Saccharomyces cerevisiae S288C: one gene and its partners. The protein of the gene in region 3 interacts with the protein of the main gene of each other region in a pairwise test. Each region holds a gene or a part of one and is shown on either strand. Other genes may lie near its edges.

Region 1 (4,030 bases), on a different chromosome or scaffold from region 3:
ATCCTCGAGGGAGAACTTCTAGTATATTTTGTACCCCTAATATTAACACCGAATCGACAATGAAATAAACGGAATAGCGCAATTTCTGCAAATTTTTACAGTTCATCAACAAGATACATATCTTTCATGACAGCTCCTAAAACGACTCTCATGAATGGTAGTACACCTCACGAAAAAGCGTACCAAAACCGCACACAATAAACGGACTCGAACTGTTATGATCTCGTATTTTCTTGTGCCCCGGGTCTTACTTCGTCGTGAGGGTGGATGAGCCATCACAATGGGCATTTAGCGTTTTGGTGCAAGAGCGGGAAGAGGGGCGGCAGTTGGTTGCAATACCAAAAGCAAGTGACTCACTACGGTCCGATATTATCTTGCCCTTTCCATTCTCATACGTATGTTTTTTTAGATTATGCACCTTCTTTGCCACAGTAAATGTGGCGGGGAAGATGTTGAGCTAGCGCCGTGCACAGTGGAAGAGACGGAGGCGATTGTGGGGTTTCATCGGATTGTGCGGGAAGAAGGCCTACACCGTGTTGAGCCACCCCCCCCTCAGGAGTAAATTTACACAAACAGTGGTGGTGCCTATGGTGGTATACGAGATAGTGATAGAAGCTGCTGGATTGGGGTAGAAATTTTGTAGGCGTTTATGGATATGGTATGGATATGGTATGGCTTGAGGTAGGTAATCCAGACACCACTGGAAATATATATAAGGAGAGAGTTCTGGCAGGTAGATTTGTACTCCTCTCTACCACTTTCTTCTACTCCTTTTATTATGTAATGTTTATTATAAGCACAGCAAAAACGTTAAATAAATCTAATAAGATTTCATTATAACATAACATTAAAGCACACAAATTTCTAACACAAACACAATTCAAACATGACCAGAACTAGCAAATGGACAGTCCACGAAGCAAAGTCTAACCCAAAGTATTTCACCCATAACGGCAACTTTGGGGAGTCTCCCAACCACGTCAAGAGAGGAGGCTATGGGAAAGGCAATTGGGGCAAGCCTGGCGATGAGATTAATGACTTAATCGATTCTGGCGAAATTAAGACAGTCTTCAACAAGACCAGAAGGGGCTCTAACTCCCAAAACAATGAAAGAAGGCTTTCTGATTTGCAACAATACCACATCTAACCGACCCGACCGGTTTGATTCCGTTAGCATATTTCAAAGAAACGGGCCTTTTAATGATTTAACGACCATATAACTTCAATAACGTGTATGCATATATAAAATGATCATGTCAAACATCCTTTATATTACTTCTTAAATACATGTTTACGATAAAAAATAAAATTTACATTATAAGTTTTTGATTGCCCATATTTGTTGATAAGAATGTAGCCTTACCGTGGCCGGTTTGTTCACCTGTAACCTCTTTGGGGGCGACCGTTAGTACTGCGCGTGTATGCTGGTGCAGGTGGAGCTGTCACAGGCGGTCTGTTATACATTTTACTATTATTTCTGTTTCCATTCACATTTTTGTTGCCACCAACTACTGGAGGTGCAGTATTGGCATTGGAATGTTTCTCATTTTCTTCTTTTTGATGCATGAGCTCCGCTTGCTTTCTTTCCAATGCCCTTTTTCCAACAAAATTGTAAACTATAGCTGCGTTTCTCGTGGAACATGCGTGCAACCATGCAAAAACACTTCCCAGAATAGGAACTAAACTAATAAGTAAATCGATAACGATATTACCATGCATCTTCACCTTGATTTCCGCAGGCAATTTATACCTGTCATCTGCCAATTCAATCAACTTATCATGCACCCAATACATCAATAAGGGTCCTATAACCGGTAGAAGTGCAAGTAATGGTGCCCATCCTATAGTGTTTGTCCAGCAACAGCATCCGCACAGTGATTTGTCATGCAGCCAGGCTTTGTTTTGGACCTTTTTCCACGCTTTACTTTCATCCTTAGTGCAATAATATGGCAGTCTGCGGCGGTGCTTTTTACCATCTTTATTCGTTTCATAAAACGGATCCCTGGTTGGCTGGAAATGCTGTTCTGCGAACTCTTGATATTGATCTTCTAAGTAATCTTGGCCTAGACCAAGCAACGTGCTCTTAATGAACCCTGACATTTGATATGGTTTCCCCCTTATTTTACTTGATGATATTGCTCCCAGCAGATCCAAGATTTATTTTCAAGTGCTCTTGTCTCACGTATACTACGACTTCTATGAAACAAATATATGAGTAGGGAACTGAACAAAAAAGCAAATTCTTCCAATGCTCTCTAGCTCGCAGTCATGTTATGATCTCATAATCACGTCCCATTCCCGGCTTCTACGCATTTTTCCACGTATTAGCGCGATTTAAAAAAAGAAAATAGAAACAAATAGCAATAAACAAAAAGAAAAGTAACGCTATTACATCCACATGTCACAACTACTTTGTGAAGTTGCAATGCGTGATTAGTATTATAAAACATCATAGCCTTGCCAAATAAACTCGCTTCCCAGAAAAGACGCCAAATTAACTGCCGCTGTTATGTGACAAAACAGGGCATCTCACATATTCGCGTACTGGTGTTCTTTTAGCTCATTCCGATATTATTCCAAGACGGAATTTTCATCTAGAGAAAATGCATCCGTGCATTTTCATAAACCCACACAATTAAAATGCCTTGCGAAAAGGAGGACTCGTCCGTGCAACTGTTGAAAAAAATAGACGGAGCATCATACGTTCGAGTGGAAAATTATGGAGAGTTTTCCAAGCTCTATGGCATGTAGAGTCGTGATTGCTGCTGTACGCTTTTGCACAATATTGAATCTTCAATCTAAAGAATTAAATTTTCTAATTTCAATGTAGAAATATTTCAACTGTTAGTTTTTTATTTCAGGTTGAATATAGTACGACAAAATATCAAGGAAAAATGGCTAGAGAAATCACCGACATCAAACAATTTTTGGAATTGACCAGAAGAGCTGACGTTAAGACCGCCACTGTTAAGATTAACAAAAAATTGAACAAGGCCGGTAAGCCATTCAGACAAACCAAGTTCAAGGTTAGAGGCTCTTCTTCTTTGTACACTTTGGTTATCAACGATGCTGGTAAGGCTAAGAAATTGATCCAATCTTTGCCACCAACTTTGAAGGTTAACAGATTATAAGAAAAATAAGGAATGATCGGAGTGTTATCATAACGAGACTGGAACAAAAAAAACTAAGAATACTTTCCCATCCGCATAAAGAATAATATCCATTTGTGTTCGTTATACAGGAAGTAGAAATAGGCTTTATAACTTTTTTTGTTTTTGTTTCCTTTTGTTTTTCTTACTACTCATAAACATATTTTTTAATTTTTAAAGTCATAACGTTGTATAGTTAATAAAAAAAATTGGATTACTATTCATTGAAGAAGAGAGTTCTATACGTTCTTTTTTAAGTTTATTTAAAGGGAGTTACCATTTGTGTAATAAAGTAAATTAGAGATTATATTATGTAAAGGTAAAAACGGGAGCGAGCATCATACGGCCTTCTTGCTATCGCGACCAATGGTTGGATTTGATTGCTCTTTCTCTTCAGTATCATCTAATACTTTTGCCAGTCGATCTCTTGCCCTAGATTTTAAAACTTCTTCATCGGTCGAGGAAATTCTTTCAAACTCGCCTTCGTTGATGTTTGATGCTTCGGCAAATTCTTTTGTCTCTTCTGTTGTAGGCTCTCCTACTTTTTTCGCATTATCTTTCTCTTGCTTGTTGCTCCCAAGCTCTTGCTCAGCGGTTAAACCATTCGTGCTGTTTTCTTCAACCTTTTGTTCAATGGCAGAATTTCTATTCGAATTTATCACGCTTTCATCAAAGTCAGAAGTTTTGACCAATTCTGCGGTTCTTACCCATCTTCTTCTTCTTGTATATTTAGAAAAGGAATCTTCTTTACTTGGTTTTTTCCAGGTATTGTCGTAATATATAAATCCCTCGTCAGGGGAGGGATCTGCGGAAGTTCTTGCCTTTGAATTGGGCACTTGAATGGCACCGTCATTAGTCATGTCTAGCCTCCATGTCTTGTC
Region 2 (5,204 bases), on a different chromosome or scaffold from region 3:
TAGTAAATTCGAATCAGACATGGCTAATCCAAAGAAGTCCTGTAAAGATTTTAGACGTCTTTCGTAGTTCGGTAAATGTACTTCGGTGAACATACCATTTTCTTCTGGTTGTTGATCGAATTCAGTGATCAACTGCCCCAGTTTAATAGTATAATACTTTGATGATTGAGTGACCATATCAAGTCTTTCGTGCACTATACCGCGAGGTATATCAGAAACCAATGAAGCTATTTCAATTGGTTTCTTCGGTAGCCCGACAAACCTGAAGTTCCGAATCACCATAAATTTGTTTATTCTTGGGCGTATTTTTTCTAGTAAATCAACTGACAAGGCCTTTAGGGACCATTTTTGATGCGACAGTTTTTTCTTATTTACATCCTTCAAAACAGTTTGAGATAAAAGACGTATTGTCGATACTGAATTTTGTAAACAGTAAAGAAAAGACTTTAGGATTGAATCACTTACTGTTTTGTAGTACTGTTCAGCTTCATACACGGCAGGTAAACCTTGGACGCATTCGTTGGTCACAGAATAGTAGCACAATAATATAATGTACTCAAATATGGCTTGGCTAACAAGATATTGCAAATCTCCGTCTTCAAAGGATGAGGGATCAGCAATGTCCTTGCAAATATTGTATAGCAAATCAAAAGGCACCGAACAATAAGAGTCAATATTGTCAGTTTTGATTGAAATGCAGATTTTTTCAACAATTGACCTGATCAATTGTAATTGATCTTGTAACCTACTTAGTTCTTCATTTTCCTCACGTACGTCTTGAATCAATTGTTGCTGTGAATCAAATGCAACCTCTCGTAGTGATTCCTCTAATGAATGACTTATCTCTTCAAAAGATTTCAAAATACGCCTATTGATGATCATTTAAGAATATTAATTAAGGAACCTGCAATTTTGCAATAGGACTATTTTGTTGACTTTGTTGTTATTACTAAGTTTTAAAGTGGAAAAGAATTCCGACCCTTTGTTTAGTGAGTGGGGGTCAATCAAATTCGTATTCCTCGGTCAAATGAGGAGGAATGTAAAAACCGAAAATAAAGTCATCGCATAGGTACAAGAAGAATGAACTTGAGAAGTTCAAATTTCTAATTCAATTTTTTTTTTTTTCTATACATATAAATTAATAAAGTTACTCACGGTTTGAAGGTCAATCAATATATTTGTTTAGGATAGCAATAGATAAAAGAACAATAGAGAAAGAATGTAAAATACGTAAAAATATATGTACATTACTGTCGGATAATGGTTTGAATGCATGTTTGATATGTTTGCTTATGTTTGCTTATGTTTGCTTATGTTTTTATCATTACTACTACTATAATTTTTCATTATTATGCTCGATTCGTAAAATCGTTACTCTTATTCAATACTATCTATGGAATAATCCTTCTTGGATAACTTATGTCTCAAACCTTTGCCCCAGTAAGAAAATGCAAAAGGTAAAGCAATCATAGCAGTGGAGATGAAAGCCAACAACCAAGAACCCCAGTGCAGATTCAATTTGTGGTACATTTGAATGGTAAACAAGGGGAAGGCAGCACCACCGGCGGATCTTAAGAAAACCTTTGTAGCCAGAGCACTGGATGCGTATTGGACGTAGCAATCAATAATGTAATTATTCAATGAATAATAAATCAACACCATACCGAAACCAAAAGCTAAACCAGCTGAAGCTGGACCAACCCAAATAATATGTTTATAAGCGGTAGCACCCAGGATCCATAAAGCAATTGCAGCAAATGGAGCACCGATCTTAGCACCTAGCAAACGATCTTCAGGAGTAGGTTTACGCTGTTTGACAATTTGTAAATACTTGTTTTCACAGTAGAAAGTTGTGGCTAACGCCCAAAGAGCACCGATAACAATAGGAATAAACATCAAACCCACAAGGTTGTCTTTGTAGCCATATAGTTCACCGAAAATGACAGGGAAGGCAAAGAAGAACGCATATAGTAGAGAGTAAATCAAACACACGTAGAAACAAGTAGCAACTAGAACAGGTTCAGTGACAGAGAAGTACAAAGGTCTCAACAGACAAGCCCTCATCATTTCACCCATACTGACACCTTGCGCTTCCTGCTCAGTCATAATCTTGGGATTACCAGTTTCCTTTCTTAATCTAGCAGCCTTTCTCTTCAAGATAACTGGAGCGTACGTTTCTGGGATGGCAGAAGATATGATCCACATAACACCTGCAAAGGCCATATTGACCCAGAAAATCAGGTCCATACGTCCGGTAGAAACGGAAATAAAACCGTTAACTAGTGGACCAACAACGGGACCAACGTAAGGAGCAAAAGCGAAGAAAGCAATAGCCTTACCTCTTGTTTCACTTGGGAACATATCGGCAATAGACCCACCAACTAAACACAAACCAGATGATGACCAAACACCACATAAAAATCTACAAGCTAAAAGACTACCTAGATTTGGAGCTAAGGCGCAAGGGATATTGAAGATGACATAAAGACCCATAGAAACAAAGTAAGCAACTCTTCTACCGTAAAGATCACTAACAGGAGACCAAATCAAAGGACCCAGCGAGAACCCAATAACCATTAAAGAAACCGATAAAATAGCGGCTTCCATACCTACATGGTATTTCTTTTCAACGGTTCCCAACCCACCACTGATACAAGCAGACCCGTAGGCGACACAAATAACTAAGATTGACAGTAGGACAGTGTAACTCCAACGGATCCATGCAGGCCAGTTATGGGGGTTTTCTGGATCGCCAGTCACAAAGGTAACGAATTCAATTTCCGGATCTAGATCTGGAGCTTCGTCATTCGCACCACTAGAGTCGCCTTCTTTACCCTTTTCGTTATTATCACTTTCTAAAGCATCTTCATTAGAAGAAGGCGAAGAAGCGCCATCGATCTGTCTAGTTCTCGTACGGGAAATCGCAGTAGAAGTTCTACCTATGGAATGTAGAGTGGCGACAGGAACTAAACCTGTAGGGGTTTCTAAAGTATATTCTTCAGGAAAAATCTTATTCTTGCTAGATTGAGGAGCATTAACATCAGGAACGGGGGCTTTGGAGCTCACACCCATGTCCTGCAATGACTTCACGGTTTCCGTCCGGGTCAACTTCAGTTGATTAGGAGCCATGTTGGATTTAGATCCACTCTCTGAAGGGATATATTGTTGCGGCTGCTGACTTTCTACATCAGACAACGAAGATGTTTCGTCTGAATTAAACGAATTTATGGATTCCTGTCTGTTCATTTCTGTTTATCTTTGGCTAGAGGAGTACTAATGCAAAATTAAAATAATGAAGTAAGAAGGGAGAAAGTAATTAGTTATATTAGAAAACTAGACCACGAAATTTGTAGTATAATTATGGGTATGACAATTAAAGAATTAGGGTGAACGCTACCGGTGAGGACAAAAAAGGCTGAACGAAGAAGAAAAATAAAAAGAAGATTAGATCAACGCACCTAGACGAAAAAGAGCAAATACTGCTTATTGTATTCACTTTGGAGAACAGGTTGTAACAGGACAGCTGACAATTGCTAAGTTAAGTAGATTACAAAGACAAATGTTCTTAGGCGAAAAGAATATATAAACTAAAAGAAAAAGTGGAAAAAGGGTACGTGTAAAAAGAGACTAGGATGGTTGAGCAGCGAATGATTGCAAGATATATAAAAGAAACGAGCCAGTTTTACAGCGTTTAACGCAGATCCAGAATATGAACAAAATGCATTAGGAAATAAATGAAAAAAATGGCTCTATGGATCAGGGATCATCATGGCTGCCGGAAACTACGCCGTTCTGTTTTGTTTTTGTTTTTCCTTTTTCCCGTTTGGGTGAAATCAGTGAGCTGTTCCGATCCGTTGGGCGAAGACATTGCCGCAGTGACGAAGCCCGGCTAGTCCGATTGGGCTCCAGTAAACCCCTCGCCAAGCACAGAGAAGCTAGTCAGAGGCCCGCTAGACTGTACTTACTGGTCTTTAGCACACGACGACCGTACTTTGCACGTGGCTGCAGACACATTTTGTATGGAGGGAATGCTTGATTATATAAAGAGCTCTGTTTTTATGTTACCCGTCCAACGTTCTCACCCGGCTCCGCGCTATTTTTTTTTTTTTTTTTTTTTTTTTTCAGACCCACACAAAATCCGCGTAGCCGAGATTGCTTATGTATGTTATCATATTGCCTGTTTGAGATATGCAGGATCAGCATAGCATGTCTCTAACCAAATTGTGGGTCAGTCAATTATGTTGCTCTTTTGGGTATACGCTTTCACCGGATTCTCGAGAAATCGTATAATGCATGCCCCAAAGCAGTGGCCGTTCTCGGAAAAATAAAAATAGTTTATATCTCAATTTAGTTATATGGCTATGACGGAAACGACAAAATCAAATTGAAACTTAGAAAAAATAAAAAACAGCGCATTATTAAGGTTTCATGACTCCGTATTCGCTGTCCTACGTGTAAATAGGAAGAAGAAAAAAGTGAAAAAGGAAGAACCCTTCTTTTGAAGGAAAGCATAACTCGTTACTCATACGACGGATGCGAGATATACTCTCTACGTAGTTGTACTAGCCGAATGAAAAAAGAGAAAGTTCCGAATATGTAAAATTGAAATTTCTCTTCTTTATAATAGAACTAACAATTGAACTTTCCTTTTCTTTTGAAGCTACCGTCAATGACAAAGAAGGCAGCTTTGATAAAGTACTCAATAGGTAAAGCAAACTTCAATTCAGTTAGCGAATGCATTGCGTACTAGCGCGAATATTGTTATGGTTCTTAATAGTAGATCTAAGCGTCATACGGGCGCTTGTCCTTCCACCATTGAAAGATTATGATCCGTTAGAGCCTTTGATGAAAAGAGACATGGCCATGGGTCAACGGAACAGATTCAAAGTCGACGGCCAATTGCCGCCCATACTAAATTCCACAGATGTGACAGATGATCAGAGAAGTCTGCATACGCCTGGAGAGATTCCATCTTATGTCATCAATCATTGTCCCTTAGTGCACTTGTATAGCGAAGAGAAATATTGGCCATCGGACATTGCTGAGTACGTTCAAAACTTCCAAATTAAAGATAAAAACGGCAATTCTATATCCACTCATGAAAATTTGACACTGCATGACTTGAAGGCGGAATACCACGTAGATTTATTTGGCAACAAAACGGAAACGCATATCCCCAGTAGCGAGGTATTTTTAACCAGTTT
Region 3 (4,976 bases):
TTCTTCCTCATCTGATAACTGTTTAAGATGCTTTTTGCTGCCGTTTTGGTTCAAATCCTCGTGCAAGCCATCAAGCAAAAATTGACAAAATTCTTGACAATCTTGCTGCATTGAATCACTATACATGGGGTTGATATGGCCGCAAATTTTTTTAAACTGAATAGTCTGAACTGGTATCGTTCTTACGTTAGGAGGTGTGAATGCACCGTGTCTGTGCATATTATTGACCAAGATGGCGAAATTTTTAGCTAGCAACCCCTTAGAACCTCTTGAACTATCAAAATTAATAAAATTCAGATATGTGTTATCCAAAAACATTCGAACCAAATCGTGTGTTCCCACCAAACATTGAAGTATACAGTTCATATAACAACAGTTACCTATATTTTCCAATCCTACTATAAGATCTAGATCAAGCACTTGTGAGTTGTTTAGGATGGTCTGCCTCGACGAAGACAAGTTCTGTTGTGGTAAAGGCGGAATACGTGGCGAGAATACATTCGATGCAGGGGGCAAATAGGCATGGGCTTGTGCAGCGCGGATATCTGGCGATATTCTTTCCACAGTGTTTGCTTTATTTTGAATGGTCGAGGGTGTATTGAGTTTTGAGAGAGTGGTTGGTGGATGTGGACTAAATTTTTGAACGGTGGGAGAATTTCTGTTGGGGCTTGGTTGCGGTATAATGGGCAAATCTGAATAGTATAAGGGTAATTGAGGCCTTTGCACCGTTGTTAGCAAAGGCTGCGTATTCATGGATACCATCGGCATACTCTTATCTTTATTTGGAGATAGAGATTTCTGATTGAACAAGCCTGTTGGGACTTGCGGACTACCAAAAGCTGGCGTTGAAGACGAGGATGTAAGATGCGCTGTTTCACTGACAGATGATTGATACGCCCCACCTAATTTAACCCAGTTTGAGAACCCATTTTCCAAAATGAGTATTTTCGTCCCACTCAGCGGTTTAATTACTGAATTTTGGGAAAGAATCTTCGCAAGGATGCGAGTTTGCCTTTGCTGGAAATTATTATGCAATTGAGTGTCAGTATATAAAATAATGAACTTGAACTTGTCTCGATTTGAAAAGAAAGTGATATCTGAGTGCGGCGAAGTGATCAAAGAGACACTTTCAATTTGTTGGTCTGTAAAAGAATCCTTAAATGAGGCAGGATCGATGCATATAATGTTTTTGCATTTGATATGGGCCCTAACGAATTCAGACCTGGGCCGTACATCGATAAGCAAGAGAGCGTCACCATGAAAATGCAACATTGAACTTAATTTTCCAGGCTCTATAGTTTGCAACTGTATAAATTTAGGGTAATTTTCAATGACATTTCGAATCCGCTCAATATTTGGGTCATTATGCAAAAGCTGGATTCTCTCCCCGTACAAATTTCTAACATTCTGGTCCTTGTTGCTCGAAAATTCCTTTAGTCTTGGTAGAGTATCCTCCAAGAGCGTATATACGATCATGTAATATAAAAAAGCTGTTTCATTCAATCGGAGAAACCCCTTTGACAACCGGTTTGCATCTTCTTTAGGGGCCTGCATGGTTATATCCTGGCATGCGTCCACATAACTAGACCATATTTCTGCGCATTCTTGGAGCAAAGGCAGACACTCTTGTGGCACGTCGTCATCATCAAGAAACTTCTGAACTAAATGCCTAAGCCTGCCGAACCGCTCTTTAGCAGATTCGACAACCTCACTTAAGGCTTGTTCTGAGCCCATTACGCTTGTGCCTATTTGTGTAGAGAGATAATAAAGAAAGGACTCCACATACGTTGGAGAATACCTAGCAACTAAATATAGCTGGTGTTTACTTGATGTGTTGAAGTGAGGCGCAAGGAAAAAAGAAAAAAAATCAATGCCCGGTAGATCAATTGGACCAGGGGTTCTTGTTTTGCGACGCCGTACAGACAAGGCCAACTTTATAAAAACGATATTAGAAATTATTGTATATATGTATATAAATGTAGTATTTTTATCAACAGAAAATAGGTGGAAAACTCCCACCCTGTGCTAGACTTCATTCAAAGAGAGTCGGCTTTAACGTGGAGGACTTCCTTGTCTGTGGCGACGTTTTGAGACGAGGAATGACTGGTAGTTTGCTCGGGAAGTTCGTAGTTCTCTTGCACATTGATCTCACCATCTTCATTGAAGTTGATGTTCTCCATCTTGGCAAACAGTTGTCTCTTTTGCTCTTCCGTCAACTCCTGCTTTTTCTTGTTCTTGATCCAGTATCCTGGGTTCAAGTGTTTCAATTGTAAGTTTTTGGTGAAAGGCAAGTGACCACGCCTTTCTTCGAATATCATTAAACTCAACACAATGATAAGAACCAACCAATAGATGTTGTAACAAAGCATGGATGACAAGTAGCCGGTGTTCTGCCATCCAAGCAAAGCATTGAAGATATCCCACCCATTGTCCAGTTCTGGGTTGCAACAATTGACATGGTAAACGGCCTTTCTGATGTTATAAGACCCATTACCATCACCGCCTTCGGAAGCATCACCACCACTGGCAAGGTTGAATCTGTAATTTTCAAAGTACCACGCACCACGAGAGAAAAGACCGGCGGAGATCAGGTACAAGATCGAAGTAGACAAAATCAAGAAAATCTGCAGCGAGGATTTCGAAGCACCATAGTACAACAAATACCCAACAAGACCACCACATATCAAACCAACCACAACGGGCAATGGGTAAGCAGAGGCGTGCGAGCCCTGTGTGGTAATACCTGCACCGGCAACGAACACAACAGCTTCCAAACCTTCTCTCAAGACAGTAATAAACGGCAAAAGGAACATAGCATATCTTCTACTCAAGAACCCAATCTTGAAATAGTCTCTCTTACGGTGAGGAATCTCCACCAACGACCGCGCAATCTTCACTCTCCACTTACTCTGCATCTTATTCATTCTCAACATAGGAATACCCATCATCGAGATCATTATCGTCGCAATCATACAAAAGATACCTTCCCACAAGTCTTCCGCGCTTCCGAAAATATCCTTCTGCAGCGAATAGTACGCACCGATGAAACCTGCACCGATGGCCAGACAAATGATGAACCCGAGTAACACACCGACCCAAACCTGAATCCTTAATTTACGGTACAGCGCCCGGTCATGTTCCCCGATTGCCTGTTTCAAAAACGATAGCAGCACGGAAATAACAATCACTGCTTCCAAGCACTCTCTGAACACAACGAAGAAAACGGCCACGTTAAACACTTTGTTAGGCATGGCGGGAAGTATATGTGTGATGACCTGCTGAGAGAAGATTTCGACAACGTACAATCCGTCGTGTTATGTATTTTTTTGCTCACATTGAGCATTTTATATAACTAAAAGCTCAAGGTCGAACTACAGCCCATCGCTTCCACCGGGCCTTGCAACACCAACTTAGAAATCGGGTGCATTCATCTACGCTGTGCAGAGAATGAAATGCGCACCTTCTTACTGCTGCGACGGTGCTCGGCACGGCTTACGCGGGCGGGGGAAGGAAATAGCGGCCTGGCGTGAGTCGGCAGTCAGCGGCGGGCTCACTGTACTCGCTCGTTTAATGCACCAGCAGTATTCGCGCACTTAATAATAGTATTTCTGCACCCTGGCCTGGAAAGAATGCTCGATGCGCCCTGGTTGATTGGCGCAGAGCGTGTGTCAGTGCCGGACCCGATTTCTTTTTTTCTACACGTTGGTCTGATGTCTCAGGAGTTAGTAGTGACCGTGGTCAAGAAAAAAACAGGACGAAAAATTGTTGAGAACGTATACGTATATTGTATTCTTCTTTTTTTTCTTTGCTGCCCTTTTATTATCTATTTCATTTTTTAACCAGAGGCAATCGTAAGAGAGAGATAATATAGCCCTTTTTGGTCTTTTTTGGCACCTTCAGCCGGACCCTGCTCTTTTATTACCCGGATGCTCGGGTTTTGTCTTTGCATCCGGGTAGCAAAACAGAATACTTGCTTTCTTATTGAAGTAGAAAAAATACAGAGAAAGCGAAAAAGGCTTCCTTGGCGGATAGATGGTCTCACAACAAGCATAGCGTATACACGTGCACTCACAAGCATACACAGAAGCGCGCAAAATGAGTCTACCGGAGATTTTGCCTTTGGAAGTCATAGATAAAACAATTAACCAGAAAGTGTTGATTGTGCTGCAGTCGAACCGCGAGTTCGAGGGCACGTTAGTTGGTTTCGACGACTTCGTCAACGTTATACTGGAAGACGCTGTCGAGTGGCTTATCGATCCTGAGGACGAGAGCAGAAATGAGAAAGTTATGCAGCACCATGGCAGAATGCTTTTAAGCGGCAACAATATTGCCATCCTTGTGCCAGGCGGCAAAAAGACCCCTACGGAGGCGTTGTAAAAAGGCAAAAATTAACGCGAATTTGTATAGTGCATCTAAAAAAAATAATTAAGTATAAAAATAGATAAAGGAAATCAAGTGTTTCTTTTTTTTTTTTTGGTTTATTGTTTGACACTGGTGATTTGCTTAACCAGCGCCTCCAGCTTCGCGTTCGTGAGAGCGACGTCTTTTCCCCGCATCGCCACCGTACAATTCATTAAATGCCATATTCCGATCACGTATTGGACCTTGCGCATGCCGCCCTGCTGGCGGCACATATCGAAACACTTTGCTGAAATCGCATAGATCTCGCCCAGATCGTGTTCGAGCATTCGACCGCCTAAGTAGTTTACCAGTATTTGCAGCAACAGAGCCTTCTTCAATTTGAAGCGGTTGTCCGCAACGGCTTCTCCGGCAACGAACTTGTTGCTAGAGTAGAACTCGCGGAGCTTCGACACGTACTCGGCGCGCTGCTTGTCACTACATGGCAGCGGGTTCCAACTGAACGGCTCGAAATGGCTGAAAAGCCATAGGATCGTTACTGTGCACTCCCATATGGGGTTGAACTGCAGATCCGTTTCTTGTAGCAATTTCTCCACCTGAAGCCACACCTTGTTGCA

The links. Proteins that work in one complex are often made in the same cells at the same time.
Region 1: the proteins of FTR1 (region 3) and YLR326W interact in a protein complementation assay, tested with the Saccharomyces cerevisiae proteins (2 studies listed by BioGRID).
Region 2: the proteins of FTR1 (region 3) and TPO3 interact in a protein complementation assay, tested with the Saccharomyces cerevisiae proteins (one large-scale study listed by BioGRID).

Annotation. Positions count from the first base shown.
Region 1 is NC_001144.5:780,244-784,273, reverse strand, and holds YLR326W (uncharacterized protein), read right to left. Parts: upstream 2,101-4,030; coding exon 1,378-2,100; downstream 1-1,377. Other genes in the region: TMA10 (Tma10p), read left to right, coding at 887-1,147; 60S ribosomal protein eL38 RPL38, read left to right, coding at 2,895-3,131; PEX30 (peroxisome biogenesis protein), read right to left, coding at 3,488-4,030.
Region 2 is NC_001148.4:836,532-841,735, forward strand, and holds TPO3 (spermine transporter), read right to left. Parts: upstream 3,247-5,204; coding exon 1,378-3,246; downstream 1-1,377. Other genes in the region: NCA2 (Nca2p), read right to left, coding at 1-882; TDA6 (Tda6p), read left to right, coding at 4,735-5,204. UniProt on the Saccharomyces cerevisiae protein: Cell membrane polyamine/proton antiporter, involved in the detoxification of excess polyamines in the cytoplasm. Recognizes spermine, but not spermidine.
Region 3 is NC_001137.3:458,490-463,465, forward strand, and holds FTR1 (high-affinity iron permease FTR1), read right to left. Parts: upstream 3,252-4,976; coding exon 2,037-3,251; downstream 1-2,036. Other genes in the region: putative ubiquitin-specific protease UBP5, read right to left, coding at 1-1,734; YER145C-A (uncharacterized protein), read right to left, coding at 3,897-4,334; RNA-binding protein LSM5, read left to right, coding at 4,096-4,377; cohesin-loading factor complex subunit SCC4, read right to left, coding at 4,479-4,976. UniProt on the Saccharomyces cerevisiae protein: Permease for high affinity iron uptake.